2 linked regions of the Pelodiscus sinensis genome follow. The protein of the gene in region 1 interacts with the protein of each later gene in a biochemical or structural test. Links are inferred from orthologs where the notes say so. Each region holds a gene or a part of one and is shown on either strand. Other genes may lie near its edges.

Region 1 (7,820 bases):
TTAGTTGCACTGCAATTCAAATTTATTAAATCATAATATTCAATATATAATATATTACATTTATTACAGGCAGTCCCCGACTTACGCGGATCTGACTTATGTCGGATCCGCACTTACGAACGGGGCTTTTCTCGCCCCGGAGCTCACGGGCGGCGGGTCGCCACCCGTGTCTTCCGGGACGAGAAAAGCTTCTCCCGGTCTCCCTGGTCTGCTGGGGGGGTCCAGCAAAGCCGCTGGACCCCCCCAGAGACCAGGGACACCCAAGCAAAGCCGCCGCCCGGGCGGCTTTGCTCGTTTGCCCGGGAGCAAAGCCGCCCAGGCAGCGGGACCCCTGCAGCCTGGGCGGCTTTGCTCCTGTCCCCCTGGTCTGCTGGGGGGGTCCAGCGGCTTTGCTGGACCTCCCCCCCAGCAGACCAGGGGGACAGGAGCAAAGCCGCCCAGGCGGCGGGGGTCCCGCCGCCTGGGCGGCTTTGCTCGGGTGTCCCTGGTCTGCTGGGGGGGGGTCCAGCGGCTTTGCTGGACCCCCCCCCCAGCAGACCAGGGGGACAGGAGCAAAGCCGCACAGGTGGCATCCTGCCGCCTGGGCGGCTTTGCTCGGGGGCAAAGGAGCAAAGCCACACGGGCGGCGGGGTCCCTCCGCCTGTGCGGCTTTGCTTGGCTCTCCCTGGTCTGCTGGGGGGGGGGTGCGCTAGTGTGCCCCCCCCCCCCCAGCAAACCAGGCTTTTGTTGCGGGACGCCTCGGGTAGAGCAGCTGGGGTGCTTCCCGGTTGGTCCTGTGGGAACCTACCGGGCAGCGCCCCAGCTGTTCTGTCCCAGGCTCCAGATTCAGCAGCTGTTGAAACTGATCAGGCTGATTCCAGGAAGCTGAGGGCAGAGCAACTCTGCCTCCAGCTTCCTGTAGTCAGCCCCTGGTCAGTTTCAGTGGCAGCAGCTGAATCTGGAGCCAGTTCCGACTTACATACAAATTCAACTTAGGGACTATAGGTTTGTTCTTATCTTGTACGTAACCCGGGGACTGCCTGTATATTATAATTATTCTTATTATTATTTGTGGTTGCACCTAAGAATGCCAGTCATGGACCAGAATCCATTTGTGCTATTACACAGGGTGGAAAACATGTAGTTGGAAAATATACAGGTGCTGGGTACGATTTTAATTTTTCTCCTTCAATTATTTAGTCAGGAGTTTCCTTCAGACAAAATAAAAGATTCTGTTTGACATTAATTATAGGACAAAATGTTCAAAGGGATTTTATTTATTAAAATTCAGATTTTGTTAGTGATTTTCTACATATAAAATAAAATTGGAAATTATTTATGTATTTTTAAATATATACAAGAAAGAGAAAATATGATCAGAGGACACTTTCAAGTTATGATTTCCTGATGCACTATTGCTTTACACTGGTGTAGAGTCATTTACTACTGGCCAAAATCAGTGTATAACGCTGCCAAAATGGTGGCCTTTCATAGCTTGGGTAAGTCACATCATCGCTCTGTGAATATGTATCCCTTCCAACCCATTGTTCCTTTTGTCTATTTAGATTGCAAGCTCTTAAGATAGGGGACTGTCTCTCATAATGTGTTTATACAACATCTCACAATGAGATCTCAACTGGGGAATCTGGTTTCTACTTTAAAGTACATAATTATTATTAATAATTGATATACATACATCAGCTGAGTTTTTGTGGGTGTATCATAAGCCCCACTTCAATGATCAGTTACTCGTCAGCTCATGCCACCGTCTCCGGTGTGGCTCATGGGAATTCTCATGCATCATTAAATAATCATTTAATAATTTTACTGTCTCTCTTTAAATATGTACGTCTCTGAAGATGTTGTTGATGAGTCACTGCTGGTGCTTTTTAGAGCTGGCTTCTATTTCCAATATGTCATTCATTGATTCATGGTGGGGTACCTACCCCATGTGATGCTGAAGAGTCCATTAGTAGCATTCCTGGAGCTGATCAGCTTTTTATTCTCACTCCGCAACTATAGGTAGATAACAGTTGTGGGATGTATTTTAAGGCTTTACAGGCCACACAGGGCCCTTGGGATGCACATTGTGTCTCCGTTGTGTCTCTGATTAACAGTATAGGGAAAGGAACCTATAAAATCTAATCATAATATTTTTCAATTTTATAGGGACTTTTGTCTGATGATCCCTAAACTTAAACATTGGGGTATGTCTAAACTACATCCCTTTTTTTATATAGGGCTGTAAATTAGACATATCGAAATGGCAAATGAAGCTGGGGTTTGAATTTCCCATGTTTCATTTGCATAATGGCGGCTGCAGCTTTTTTTCGAAAAGCTGCTTCTCGGAAAAAAAAACGCGGTCAGGACGGGGATCTTTCGACAGACTCTGTTTCGAGAGATCCTGTAACCCTCAAAAAATGAGGTTTACAAGATCTTTCGAAACATGACATTTCTGTGGAAAGATCCCCATTTTGACTGCATTTTTTTCCCGAGAAGCGGCTTTTCGAAAAAAAGCCGCAGCTGCCATTATGCAAATGAAGTGTGGGAAATTCAAATCCCGGTTTCATTTGCCATTTCAATATGTCTAATTTACATCCCTATATCAAAAAAGGGATGTAGTTTAGACATACCCTTAGGGTACATCTACACAGCAGTCTTATTTGAGAATAACTGGCGTTATTCCAAAATACGATAGTGTGCATCTACACTACAAGCCTTTATTTTGAATTAATGCTGAGCTGAAGGACTTCTTATTCTGACTCATGGTAACCCTCATTTCACGAGCAATCAGGGAAGTCAAAGAAAGAGTGTTCTTCCTTTGACTTCTTGTTGTGTAGACAGCACCAAAAGCCAAATTAAGCTATTTCGACTTAAGCTATGCAATTGGCATAGCTGAAGTTATGTAGCTTATTTCAACATTAGCCCTGTGTGTAGAAGAACCATTATCGAGCCTCATGACCCTACTGTCAGGGAGGTAAGTGTTGTTCTCGCCAGCTTTGGATGAATTATGACACAGCTAAGTTAAATGATCTGCTGTTCTGGACTGTTTTCTCTGGAATTGTCCTCATTTCAACAAAGCAACCCAGGGCTCAACAGAGTCCTAAAATTACTACTGAGAGCCACATGGCATCATCAACACATGATTAAGTCTGTGTCATAGCGTTGCATTTGCCTCAGAAGTGAGTAGGTCATTTTATATCCAATCCTTGCTTCCCAGCAGTTGGATTCATAGCTTTGCCATGGACTTGTATGACTTCGGACAAGTCAGTTGCTTTGTCCCTGTTTCCCACTCTGTAAAATAGACATCCGAACACTCAGAGTTCAAGTGACCACCTTCCTTTCAAGGAAATTACAACTGTATGAAAATAGGAACTCTCCCCTCTCTGAAGCCTACACCCAGACCTGATTTATTTCCTTTTTTAAAATCTCATGATTATCCAGTCAATTGTGATGGTTTTAGTCTTCTCACAATCTTGGAGCACTTGACTTTGGCAATGCTGCTTCAATCAGGCAACTCTAACCGGTAGTTGTTTTGCAGTGTATTGCTGACTCTCATGGGCAGATGCACTCAGCTAGCACAGTATCAGACTTCCCAGCCCATTGCCCCGGCTTCCCTGAACAGATGCAAGTTGGATACAAACAAGAGGAAGTCTCCTTTTTCACCCAGGCTGGGTCTCCACTAGGGGATAAGTTCAAACTAAGATACACAACTCCAGCTACATTAATTGTGCAACTGGAGTCAAACTATCTTAAATTGAGTTTTGGTGCCATCCATACCGAGGGAGGTTGATGGGAGCACATTCTCCTTTTAAGGAGTAAGGGAAATCATAGGACCAGGACTACTGCGCTCAATGGGAGTGCCCTCTCAGTTCAAATTAGTGTGTCTTCACTAGACCTGCTAATTTGAACCCTGGAAGATTGATTGTGGCAGCTTCAATCTTTTCTGTAGTGTATTTCCATGGGCTATTCAGAAGCAGATTAGGGATTTCTGGGGCCCTGAGCTAGAGCAAGTGGGGAGGCCTCACAACCCCTTCCACCTTTAGTCCTATCCTCCCACCCTGGTCCTTATGCAGAAGCACTGGAAGGGCAGAATGGATCAGGGCACAGGAGAGCCCATTTTTCCAGGCCCCAAGTTGGCTGGGGCACATACCCTGCTGGCCCAGAAGCTAATTTGCTACTCCAGTTTCACAGAGGATACACTACCGGCTATGGTGCGGGGCACAACCTCATCCGAGTTAGAGGGGCAGCTCTCAGCCTCTGACTGCCAGGAGTGGGGAGTGGAAGAGGAGATGGATCACTCCATCCTTGCCCTAGGCTATTCTGTAGGTTTTCCTGAACCTCTGGCACGGGCAGGGTGGGAGCCAGGCTGCTGGGCTAGCGGACAATGGCAACTGGTGCTTGCAGGGAAGGGGCATGCAGGGGCACCCCTCTTTGCAATTACAATTTTGGCAGGGGCATAGGAATGGGTGAATCTCCCCAGCCAGCTATCAGGTCGCCTAGGCTAGCTAGTCCATGGCCTGATGATGCCCTACAGTCTGGCAGACAGCTCCTAGGCTCAGCCAGCGCTGCACCCCGCCGCCCACGAGGCTGGGAAGGGGGGAGCCAGCTAAGCAGCCCTGCATGGCGCATGGCCCAGCAGCATACCGCCTCCCCTCGACCTGCGCGGGCAGAGCACCGGGGAGTTGAGCTGGGGAGGGGTGGGTAAAGAACTACAATTCCCATGATCCCCCTGCGCGCTGCCGCGGGGTGATGAAGTCACCACGCCCCGCCCACCCGCCGGAGTGTTGGAGCTGCCGCTGCGGGCCGCCGCGGAGCCAGAGCGTTGGAGGCTCGTTGGCGGTTGGCTGCTCGCGCTCGTGTTCGCGATCCCGGCCACAAAGGGAACTGCTCGCGTCGCGCCGCCGCCGCCCTGCCGCCTGAGGGGAGGCGCTTTGGGCTCCGCGCCCCAGCCCGTCGTGGGTTCCTCTCCCTCGCGGGGCGTCTGTGGACCCGGAGCGGCGGGGCAGCGCCTCCGGCCGCGGGGGATCGCCACGGTCGGCGCCGCTGGTTTGGCCCGGGTGAGTCTCGCCGCTGTGGGCCGGTGTGTGGTAACCGGGGGGTGGGGGGGGGGCAGAAATCCCCGCCGGGTCTCCCTCCCCCCCCGCGTCCTGCGCTGCGTTCTCCTGCTTGGCACGTCGGGGGGTGTCGTGTCCACCCCTGCCTGTCCGCGCCGGGCTTTCAGTGCCCCCAACGGGCCATTCCCGGGCCCCGTCCGCCCCAGCCCCTCCGCTGGGTGCGCGGCCCTGGGTCGCCGAGCCCCTCTGGCTCCCTTTTTAGTGTCTTACAACTTTATTTAGTTCTTGTCTCCCCCCCCCCCCCCCCGAAACTAGACGCGTCTCCCGAGCTCTGACTTCATTTCCTTTAGCCCAGGACCCTGTTTCCACACCGCTCCGTGGAGCGGCTGGGGAGCAGAAGGGTCAAAACAAAACAAAGGGGCTTTTGTGGGCCTGGGTTAAACTCGTAAGTCGTGGCGTTTCCTAGATGACACAATAGTTTCCCTGCTGTTTACTGGGGAGGAATCCCCATAACCAGTCTCCAAAAGTCAGTTGAAATGTGTGTTGGATTATTTCTAAGCTCTCTCACAATGTCTGTGTTGTAATAGTTTTCTGTGCCTTTCGCCTGTGTTTTGTGGCTCGTTTAAAGAGGATCTATGAGCCAACACAAGTTTAGTTTGCTAGCAGAAACAAAATTGTGTAACCCATGTCCCCACGCTCTTTACAGGGGTAAGCAGTGTATTTGCAAAGGTAAAATAATAGCTGGGGGACATGTATTAAAAAAAAGATTAATTTCAAAGGCAGAGGAGAGTAAGAACAGCTATATTTTCACATGTGATTCTTTCCCAGGCCCCTCCCCCCATGCCAAAAATCTCTTAACTGGGTAGAGTGACCTGTACTTTCATGCTGATTGTGTGTTTCTTTTAAGTAAATGTGACTCAAAATCTATGGTTACATGATCTGTGCTACACAGAGTTCCGTGTGTGTGTCTACGCCTGCTGTACTTCAACAGTAGTACTTTGTATTTTCAGATTACATTCAAAGGCCTTCGATTTTTTTTTATTGAACTAAGTGTTTAAAATCCACCGCTCTAAAATTTTGTAACTTTAGTTGGCGATAGACTGAACTACAGAGGTTGCTTCTGAATGTGCTCAGCAAAATGACTTTTTCCTAAATCATGAATTTGCAAGAGGGTGCTGGGTGGGAAAAGGTTGTTTCCTGTTTTTGTGAATACAAAATGTTGCAAAATAGAAAAGATGTAATGTCCTGTTAAGATGATTGGGTCTTTAGCACTTTGTATGCTGTAGATGTATTAGGGGAGACCTACCCTGAAGATTTCCTATGCAAGTTTCCTGGATTATTTTTATGAATAGAACATAGTTCCTATTATGATATTTACAAAATGTGATCTTTTTTTTTTTTTTTTTTTTTTATTTACAAGTCTTCTAAGTCAATTTTCATATGTGATCAGTGATTGTGGTTGTTTCAATTTTGGGTGCCTAAAATAAGGATTTGTTTGTTTGTTTTTTAAAGGCCTGACTTTCAAAAATTTCTGAGTACCCATTGTTTGAAAGCAAGGCCCCTTTTTGAGGCTCAGGTTTGGCATCTAAAATCACTAGTTACTCATGACAGAAGCACATAATATGGTTGTTAATTAATTTAATACCCAAGAATGAGCCAGCAAAGAAATTTAGTCTTAATGTACCAGTTTTAAAATTTTATTTTAGAGGCGATAGAGTATCATGACTGTTGTTTTGGGAAAGTGATTAAATGAGGGAGGGGACATTAATCGGATATAACTTGATATAATTATGTAGCTAAAGTGTTTGGCTCTAGAGGAGGTACAGCAGGTCAGTGATCTGGGAATTATTTCAGGGAAGTTCTGTATTACCTGTGTTAAACTGGAGACTAAATTAGATGATCACAGTAGTCCATTCTTGCTTTGAAATCTATTAATTGTGCTAGCATTTTACTTCTGAGAAGAGTTCAAAAATAATTACTGAAATTCCAAATAAAAATGAGTTTGCTTAGTCTTCTCATAATCCTGATTTCAGTATATTATTAAACCATTATGCAGTTCAGCATCAGTCTTATTTGCTGCTTCTGTCAAGAAGTCCAGAACTAAAAACAGGACTGTATAATAGTCTGAGGGGTAGCTGTTACTCTGTAACTAAAACAAAAAAAAACTTAAACCCCACACTGGTCCTATATAGCACCTTAGACTAACCAAAACGCGCACAGATAGTATCTGAAAAAGTGAGTTGTGCCCACGAAAGCTCATAACTATCTACACATCTTTTGGTTAGTTTCTAAGCTGCTACAAGACCATTGTTTAAGGTTTTTTTTTAGGACTGTATAATGTCAGGATTGCGGTACAGTGGTAAAGTTTTGTACGACAAGTGAGCCCGGTATCTGATTTAGTCTGAACAATATTTATACCTCCTTTAATGAATAGTAAATCTAGTCCTAATAGTTTCTCTATAATGGAAGAAAAGTCTTGTTTAAAAAGAATTGTGGAATACAACAGGGAATCTAGTTTGAAAACTAAGGCCATGTGTAAACAACAAAATTACTTCAACCTAAATAAAACATTTGTGTGCACACACACTTGGCTTCTTGCTTTGCTGTTGTGTGTCCTCACCTAGAACACTTTATTATATTGTGGAGCATTGTGGGATGGCTTGTGAAAGCCAGTAACAGTTGATGCAATTGACATGCTAAGCTGACACTGCATCAACTTAATTACATTGAGTGTGATCCTACATCACTGAGGGAGGTAATGTTACTAAGTTGGCAGAGAGGTGC
Region 2 (7,404 bases), on another chromosome or scaffold:
AGTCCCATTAAGTAGTCTGTGAATACAATATTTCATTTATACTATTATTAATCATGTCAATTATCACTATTAATAGAATATTTTCAGTCCTACAAATGGGCTCTTTGTTGACCACTTGTTCTGAATTTTGATGTAGTTTGGCTCTTTGGTTTGAAAAGGCTGCTGACCCCTGCTGTAGACTTTAAGGTCAGAATTTACCATTGTGGTTATCTAGTCTAATCTGCACATTGCAGGCCATAGAAACCCACCCACTTCTGTAATGGACCCCTAACCTTTGGCTGAGATAATGAAGTCCTCAAAACCTGATTTAAAGAGTTCAGGTTTCTAAATACATAAACATTTTCACTTCATTTTTCTGATGTCAAGTGTGCTACCTGCTGCTGAGACAATCTAGATATGAATTTTCTGGAATGAAAACACACACTCTCACTTCCCTTCTAAAATTAGCATGTTGTCTGATTAATGTAAAAGTCTAATGATGGCTTATGGCCAGTAAATCCTAGAGGAAAGTAGAGTCCAGTTTACCATCACTTACCTGGGGCTTCAGGTTCAATATCATCCAGTGCAATTGGCTGCTCTGTGTCACCCCACCAAGCTATAGAGAGGACATAACTGACCCCAGGCTGCAAGCCCAAATTGCTCCAGTAGCATACAGTCTGAGGTTCTCAAGTATTTTGCCACTAGAAGATTGACCTGGCATTGCTTGGGTCCTTCACTCAAAATGTTTTCTTTTTCTTCATTTAAATAATTGCTGTGGGATGGGTCTGGGGATGAAGGGTTCAGGATGCAGGCTGCCCCAGGGAGAAAGGACAACCCCAGCTCTTTGACTGCAGCAGCTTGGGGCCAGGTGAGAAGTGCCTATCTGTGGCTGTTGCAGCGGGCACCACCGTGGAGGAGTGCAAGTCCCCCAAGTGAGGGACAGACGCAAACAAACTTTCTGAGAGTAGGATAGCTCTCCTTTCTCCCACCCATGCTCTCTGCTGGCTTAATGGGGTTATAGCAATTCTTGTCCCCGTGCTCTGTCTCTGTTGTCATTCTGCAGTATAAATGTCCCTCTTACCAGTCTCTTCCTTTTTCCATTTTATGAGAAACCATTGAATTCCAGGCACATCCCATTGCCCTGGCACAATCAAACCCTGACCTAGATTTAAGTTATGATAGGAGGAAGTTGCATACCAAAGTTGATGGTTCTGGCTCGCTGCTTAGGAGATATTCTTGAACAAATAGACTCACGGATGGACAGACACACAAACTCTCTAAAATACATAGCAGATAATACTCCATTTTTACAACCTAGGTAAATGAGCTCAAGCCCCAGTTTTTGTGTGCTGGAGATGATATTCATATATATGGACTACTGGTGAAATGCTAGAATATGGGTATTCTATATCCTTTCCTTGACATATTGCAGTGAAAAGGATGAGCTTAGGGCAATCGTGGCATGGGCTACTGGAGCCTTGGAGAACATTTGTTTGGTGCAACCTGTAGCAGGTGCCAGCCCTGCTTTCCATCCTTTGAGCCTTCTGTTCCCACCAGCCCATTACTGTCTGCAGTCTCCTGCAGTCTGTTCCACTGAGAGCCCTCTCCAGTTAACCACTGTGGTGCCCTGTCATAGCATATTTGAGTTCCAGATACCAGCATTGTTCCTGTATGAGGTGCATCATGTGCACATGACTTACTTAACCACATCCTTTTATCTGTGCTACCTGTTTCCTGCCCTATGATTTTGTTATCTCCTCCTATGCTCTGTCATGTCTGAAATTTGGCCGTTAGCACTCTGAAACCGGGAGCTTGTGTTTTTAATCAATCTTATAGACATGTGGGACACATTGGGAGGATGCAAAATAATACACAGCAATACTACTACTGTAATTAACTCTATAGAGATGCAGGGGTTGTAGTAACCTAGAGTGTCCTCTATAGCTGTGTTAGTCTGTAACTTTAAAACAAAATACAGGACTATGTAGCACTTTAAAGACTAACAAGATGGTTTATTAGATGATGAGCTTTCGTGGGCCAGACCCACTTCCTCAGATCAAATAGTGGAAGAAAATAGTCACAATCATATATACCAAAGGATACAATTTAAAAAAAATGAACACATATGAAAAGGACAAATCACATTTCAGAACAGAGGGGGGATGCGGGGGGGGGGGGAAGGAAGGTGAATGACTGTGAGTTAATGATATTAGAGGTGGGGAAGGGTAGATGTCTGTGAGTTAATAGTATAGAGGTGATAATTGGGGAAGCTCTTTTGTTAGTCTTTAAAGTGCTACATAGTCCTGTATTTTGTTTCAGCTACACCAGACTAACACGGCTACATTTCTATCACTATGTAACTTTAAAAGTGAGTAGTCTGTGGCACATCAGAGCAGGGGTGGGGAACTTCAGGCCTGGGGGCGGATGTAGCTCCTGGCTTGCCTGGATGTGGCCCTCAAGGCTCAGGTCTCACTGAGCCCATGCTGGTGTTCCAGCCCTCTCCTCCTGTCCCCTCTTCCCTTCCCCCCCCCCACCACTGTAGGGCTGAAGCACACAAAATCTACTATGCTGACACCCCCCGCCCCCTGGCTCTGGTGTGGGAGGAGAATGTGGAGAGTGTCTTTCTCCTTCTCAGTTGGGGACTATGTCTTTTGTGTGTGGCCCCCTGATTTTTCTGGGGTTCAGTGGCCCCTGACCCCAAAAAGGTTCCCCACTCCTGGCTTAGAGACTAACAAAACTATATAGGATCACTAGGGGGCAGTGCCCCTCCCTGCTCGCTACATTTGCCAACCTGCCTCTGTGCGGGTCGGCAGCCCCTGCCCTGGTTCTCCCTCAATCCCGGCCACCAGAGGTTGGGCTGGGCTGAGGACATGGCTGGCCCGGCTCTCTTCCCTCTGGCTGCTGGGGGGTTGGGCAAGGCCATGCGACTGGCCTGGCTCTCTTCCTCCTGCCGTGAGGCGGGAGGGTATGCAGCTGCCCCGGTTCTCTCCCTCCGGCTGTGAAGGGGGAGGGCACATGGTTCACAGCTCTCCCTCCCCGTAAGGGTGGAGTGCTCGTGGCTCTGGGGGAGCAGCACGATTTAAAACTCCAGCAGCTGCCCGCAACATGGTGGCTGCCAGAGGTACAGCCAGCCCCAGTCACAACTCAGGGCCAGGGTGTCCCACAGTCTGGGCCCCACTCCTGCAGCAGGCCGTTCTGCTGGCCCCCTCACCCGCTGCTGGAGCACCATAATTTTCCTCCTTCCCCCACCCCACACAAGCCTAGCAGCAGGAGCAGCTTATCTTCAGTGCTGCTGCTGCCTAGGAGCCATAGGTTGCTGATCCCTGCCGGGTTAGCAGTGGGGAGGAGGGAGGAAAGTAGGAGGCGGGGTGGTGGATGATGTCATGTCACTCAGTCATCCCACAGCAAAATATATATATATATATATATATATATATATATATAAATAAAAGATGAGCTTTTGTGAGTAAAACCTGCTTCATCAGATACTGTGGTGGTGGCTGGAGGTGGTAGGCCAGGGACCCTAGTGTGAGGGGGACTGTGGGTCCCAATTCAGGCAGATGAGGTTCTGGGAGATGACTCATCTGATGAAGTGGGTTTTACTCATAAAAGCTCATGATCATATTTATAGATTTTAATAGTCTCATAGCTATGGGCGAGTAGATTACACTAATTGTTGAGCCCTGCTCATAGCACCATCTAAACGTTTTGTTAGTCTTTAAAGTGCTACTAGACTATTTGTTGTTTTTTAAGTTTTTCCTGTTACTGATTAACTGAGCTACGCCTCTGAATCGTTAGTATCTGAGATGCCACAGGAGTACTTATTGCCTCTATCGATACAGGCTTTGTTCCCTTATGTATGGTAGCTGCACTATCCCCTGCTCACTGGGGTGCTGATGATGGAAACCATATATTTTGGGTTTATTACAATTTCAAGCCAGAGGCCTGCAGCACTCCTAGTTCCAATACCACTGCCTATAGATGCCAGTACAGATATTCCCTTCATCCCTGACAGATTGCTGTGGTGCACTTATCTCCCCTATAGAGTCCATGCTCTCTCTAGTCTGCTGCCTGCAGTAGGTATTAATATACCTATCTCATAGGGCTTGAAAGGGACCCTTATGGCAGGGCCAAGTACTATACCATCCCTGACCAATTTGCCCCAGATCCCTAAATGGCCTCCTCAAGGATTAAAGTCACAAGCCCGGCTTTAGCAGGCCAATGCTCAAACCACTGATCTCTCCCTCCCCTGTCTAACAACTTGTTCTGAAACTCACATACAGCACGCCCGACCGCGGGTCTAATTTCCCACCCACGATATCTGCCTCTAGAAATCTAGCTCCCACGGGTCAGCCCGCCCAGCTCACCGGTCCTTTCTTCCTGCGCCCGCCTGCACCGCCTCCCGTCAGCCCCCGGACTCGCTTACCGCCGCACTTCCCGCGTTACGGTGACGTGGGCGGGAGGAAGGCCGGGCTAGTCGGAGCGACAGCGGCGCAAGATGGCGGCCACCACGGGCTCGGGTGAGCGGGGCTCGGGTGGCCGAGGCCGGGCCGGGGAGGAGGGGCTCGCCGCCGGAGGCGGGGCAGCTGGTACCGGCGGACGCGGCGGTGACCGGCTTTGGCCCAGCGGGCTCCCGTGAACGGGGGCTCGCCGGCGGGGCGTGTCTGCTGGGGCGGCGGCGGCTTAGGGGCGCTAGGCCGGGAGCCCCAGTCCGGGCGTGTGAGGTTCCGAGCGAAGAGGCCCTGGGGGTGTCTGGGGACTGCAGGGGAAGGGTGACAGTGGGGTGCCGGCTGGAGATGGGGGTGCTGGGCTGGAGGGGGCTTCCTTGTGTGCTGGGTGCGGTGTCCATGGGCAGAAGGGCGTTCTGGGGGTGCTGGGCTGGAGGGGGCTTCCTTGTGTGCTGGGGTGCAGTATCCATGGGCAGAAGGGCGTTCTGGGGGTGCTGGGCTGGAGGGGGCTTCCTTGTGTGCTGGGTGCGGTGTCCATGGGCAGAAGGGCGTTCTGGGGATGCTTGGCTGGAGGGGGCTTCCTTGTGTGCTGGGGTGCAGTATCCATGGGCAGAAGGGCGTTCTGGGGGTGCTGGGCTGGAGGGGGCTTCCTTGTGTGCTGGGGTGCAGTATCCATGGGCAGAAGGGTGTTCTGGGGGTACTAGTTAGAGGGGGGCTGCCTTGTGTGCTGGGGTGCAGTATCCATGGGCAGAAGGGCGTTCTGGGGGTGCTGCCTTGTGTGTCAGGATGGGGCATTTTCGAGAACAGGGAGCATTCTGGATTCCATAACCTAGAGGAGGAATGCCATGTGTGCCAGGCTGGGTGTCTTTGCAGGGGATAAGGTTATGGGAGTACCAGGCTGAGAAATGGCAAGATGGTAGGTTGTCGGGAAAACCAGGCTGGAGGAGAATAAGGATGACTTGTTCCAAGTTGGGAGGATGTTCTTGACTGCTTCTCCTTTACCCTTAACCTGATTTCTTCTTCTCAAGCATTCAACCCTACTTTGTCTTTTATTCTTTCTGGCTATGTCTAGACTGGCCCCTTCTCTGGAAGAGGCATGCAAAGTAGGCAAGTCAAATAGGGAAATCCGCGGGGGATTTAAATATCCCCCACGGGATTTAAATAAACATGGCCGCCGCTTTTTTTCCGGCTTGGGGAAAAGCCGGAAAAGAGCGTCTAGACTGGCGCAATCCTCCGGAATAAAGCCCTTTTCCAGAGGATCTCTTATTCCTACTTGCAAGTAGGAATAAGTGATCCTCCGGAAAAGGGCTTTATTCCGGAGGATCGCGCCAGTCTAGACGCTCTTTTCCGGCTTTTCCCCAAGCCGGAAAAAAAGCAGCGGCCATGTTTATTTAAATCCCCTGCGGATTTCCCTATTTGACTTGCCTGCTTTGCATGCCTCTTCCGGAGAAGGGGCCAGTCTAGACGTAGCCTCTGAGTATATTCTTTCCAGATTAAAAGGGCTGTTGGAATAAACCTGAAGTTACTGAAGGTTGGTCGTAATTGGGCATTTGTATTGTCATCATAGTTATGAAAGTGAGGGGTGTAAAAAATCTGTGTACTTGAGAGACATAGCTATACAGGCAGTCCCCGGGTTACGTACAAGATAGGGACTGTAGGTTTGTTCTTAAGTTGAATCTGTATGTAAGTCGGAACTGGCGTCCAGATTCAGCCGCTGCTGAAACTGATCAGTTTCAACAGCGGCTGAATCTGGATGCCAGTTCTGGCTTACATACAGATTCAACTTAAGAACCCCAGGTGTCCCCAAGTCAGCTGCTGCTGAAACTGATCAGCAGCTGATTCCAGGAAGCCGGGGGCAGAGCAACTCTGCCTCGGGCTTCCTGTAGTCAGCCGCTGGTCAGTTTCAGCAGCGACTGACTTGGGGACGCCTGGGGCAGAGCAGCTGGGGTGCTGCCGGGTTGGTCCAGTAGCGCCGAGGAGCGGTGCTGCGGGACCAACCCAGCAGCGCCCCGGATGTTCTACCGTGGGCAGAAAAGCCTGGTCTGCTGGGAGGGAGGGGGCACTAGCTGAGCCCCCCCTCCAGCAGACCAGGGAGACGCGGAGCAAAGCTGCGGAGGAAGCCTGCAACGGGACAGCCCAGACGCGCCGCTGCTGTCCCACTGCGGGCGGCCTCCGAGGCTTTGCTCGCCGTCTCCCTGGTCTGACCAGCAGACCAGGGAGACGGGGAGCAGCTTTCCTCCCCCCGGAGGACACGGGTGGCGGGACCGCTCCCGTCCTCCGGGGCAAGAAAAGCTCTGTTCGTAACTGCGGATCCGACATAAGTCGGATCCGCGTAACTCGGGGACTGCCTGTACTTATTTACTGTCTGCTCCTTCCCCCCTTCATGTGGACATTGCTAGGTTGACCAAAGAATTCTTGTTTCAGCCTAGCTACCACCTCTTGAGAGATTGCATTACCTACGCTCCTGGGAGAACCTCTCCTGTTGATGTAGGTAGTTTCCCACTGGGGACTTGTCTACATGTAAGATGATACAGTGGCACATTGCACCACTGTAGTGCATCAGTATAGACACTGCTTACACCAGTGGGAGGGACTCTCCTGTTGGTGTAGTTAATCCACCTTTCCAAGAGACAATAGAATTCTTCCGTCAAAGCAGCACTGTGCATATGAGGATTTCGTTCGTCTTAACTATGCATAGCTGAGCTGAGTTAATTTTTTAATGTAGATTAGGCCTGAAGAACTAGAGGGGCACAATCACAATAGTTTAAATATACTCTGAGACATTTCAGCATAGGAGAGCATGGGAGAAATGGATTTTTTTAATCAAAATACACTTTTCACTAGGATAATAAAATCCATCCAAACCCACCTATGCAAAATTAATTGTAACTCTGGTAGATTTCAGTGTGGTATAGTTCTTTAATGACCATATTCACCCTTTTTATCTCATCACTGATGCTCATCTTCTAGGCCAAGA

What was found. The genes of interacting proteins can lie anywhere in the genome.
Region 2: the proteins of PELI1 (region 1) and UBE2V1 form a complex in vitro, tested with the Homo sapiens proteins (3 studies listed by BioGRID). The link is inferred for Pelodiscus sinensis from reciprocal best matches to the Homo sapiens genes PELI1 and UBE2V1.

What each region holds. Positions count from the first base shown.
Region 1 is NC_134713.1:184,653,235-184,661,054, forward strand, and holds the start of PELI1 (E3 ubiquitin-protein ligase pellino homolog 1), read left to right. Parts: upstream 1-4,758; 5' UTR 4,759-5,039; intron 5,040-7,820. UniProt on the Homo sapiens protein: E3 ubiquitin ligase catalyzing the covalent attachment of ubiquitin moieties onto substrate proteins. Involved in the TLR and IL-1 signaling pathways via interaction with the complex containing IRAK kinases and TRAF6.
Region 2 is NC_134728.1:19,378,335-19,385,738, forward strand, and holds the start of UBE2V1 (ubiquitin-conjugating enzyme E2 variant 1), read left to right. Parts: upstream 1-4,343; 5' UTR 4,344-4,477; coding exon 4,478-4,499; intron 4,500-7,404. UniProt on the Homo sapiens protein: Has no ubiquitin ligase activity on its own. The UBE2V1-UBE2N heterodimer catalyzes the synthesis of non-canonical poly-ubiquitin chains that are linked through Lys-63.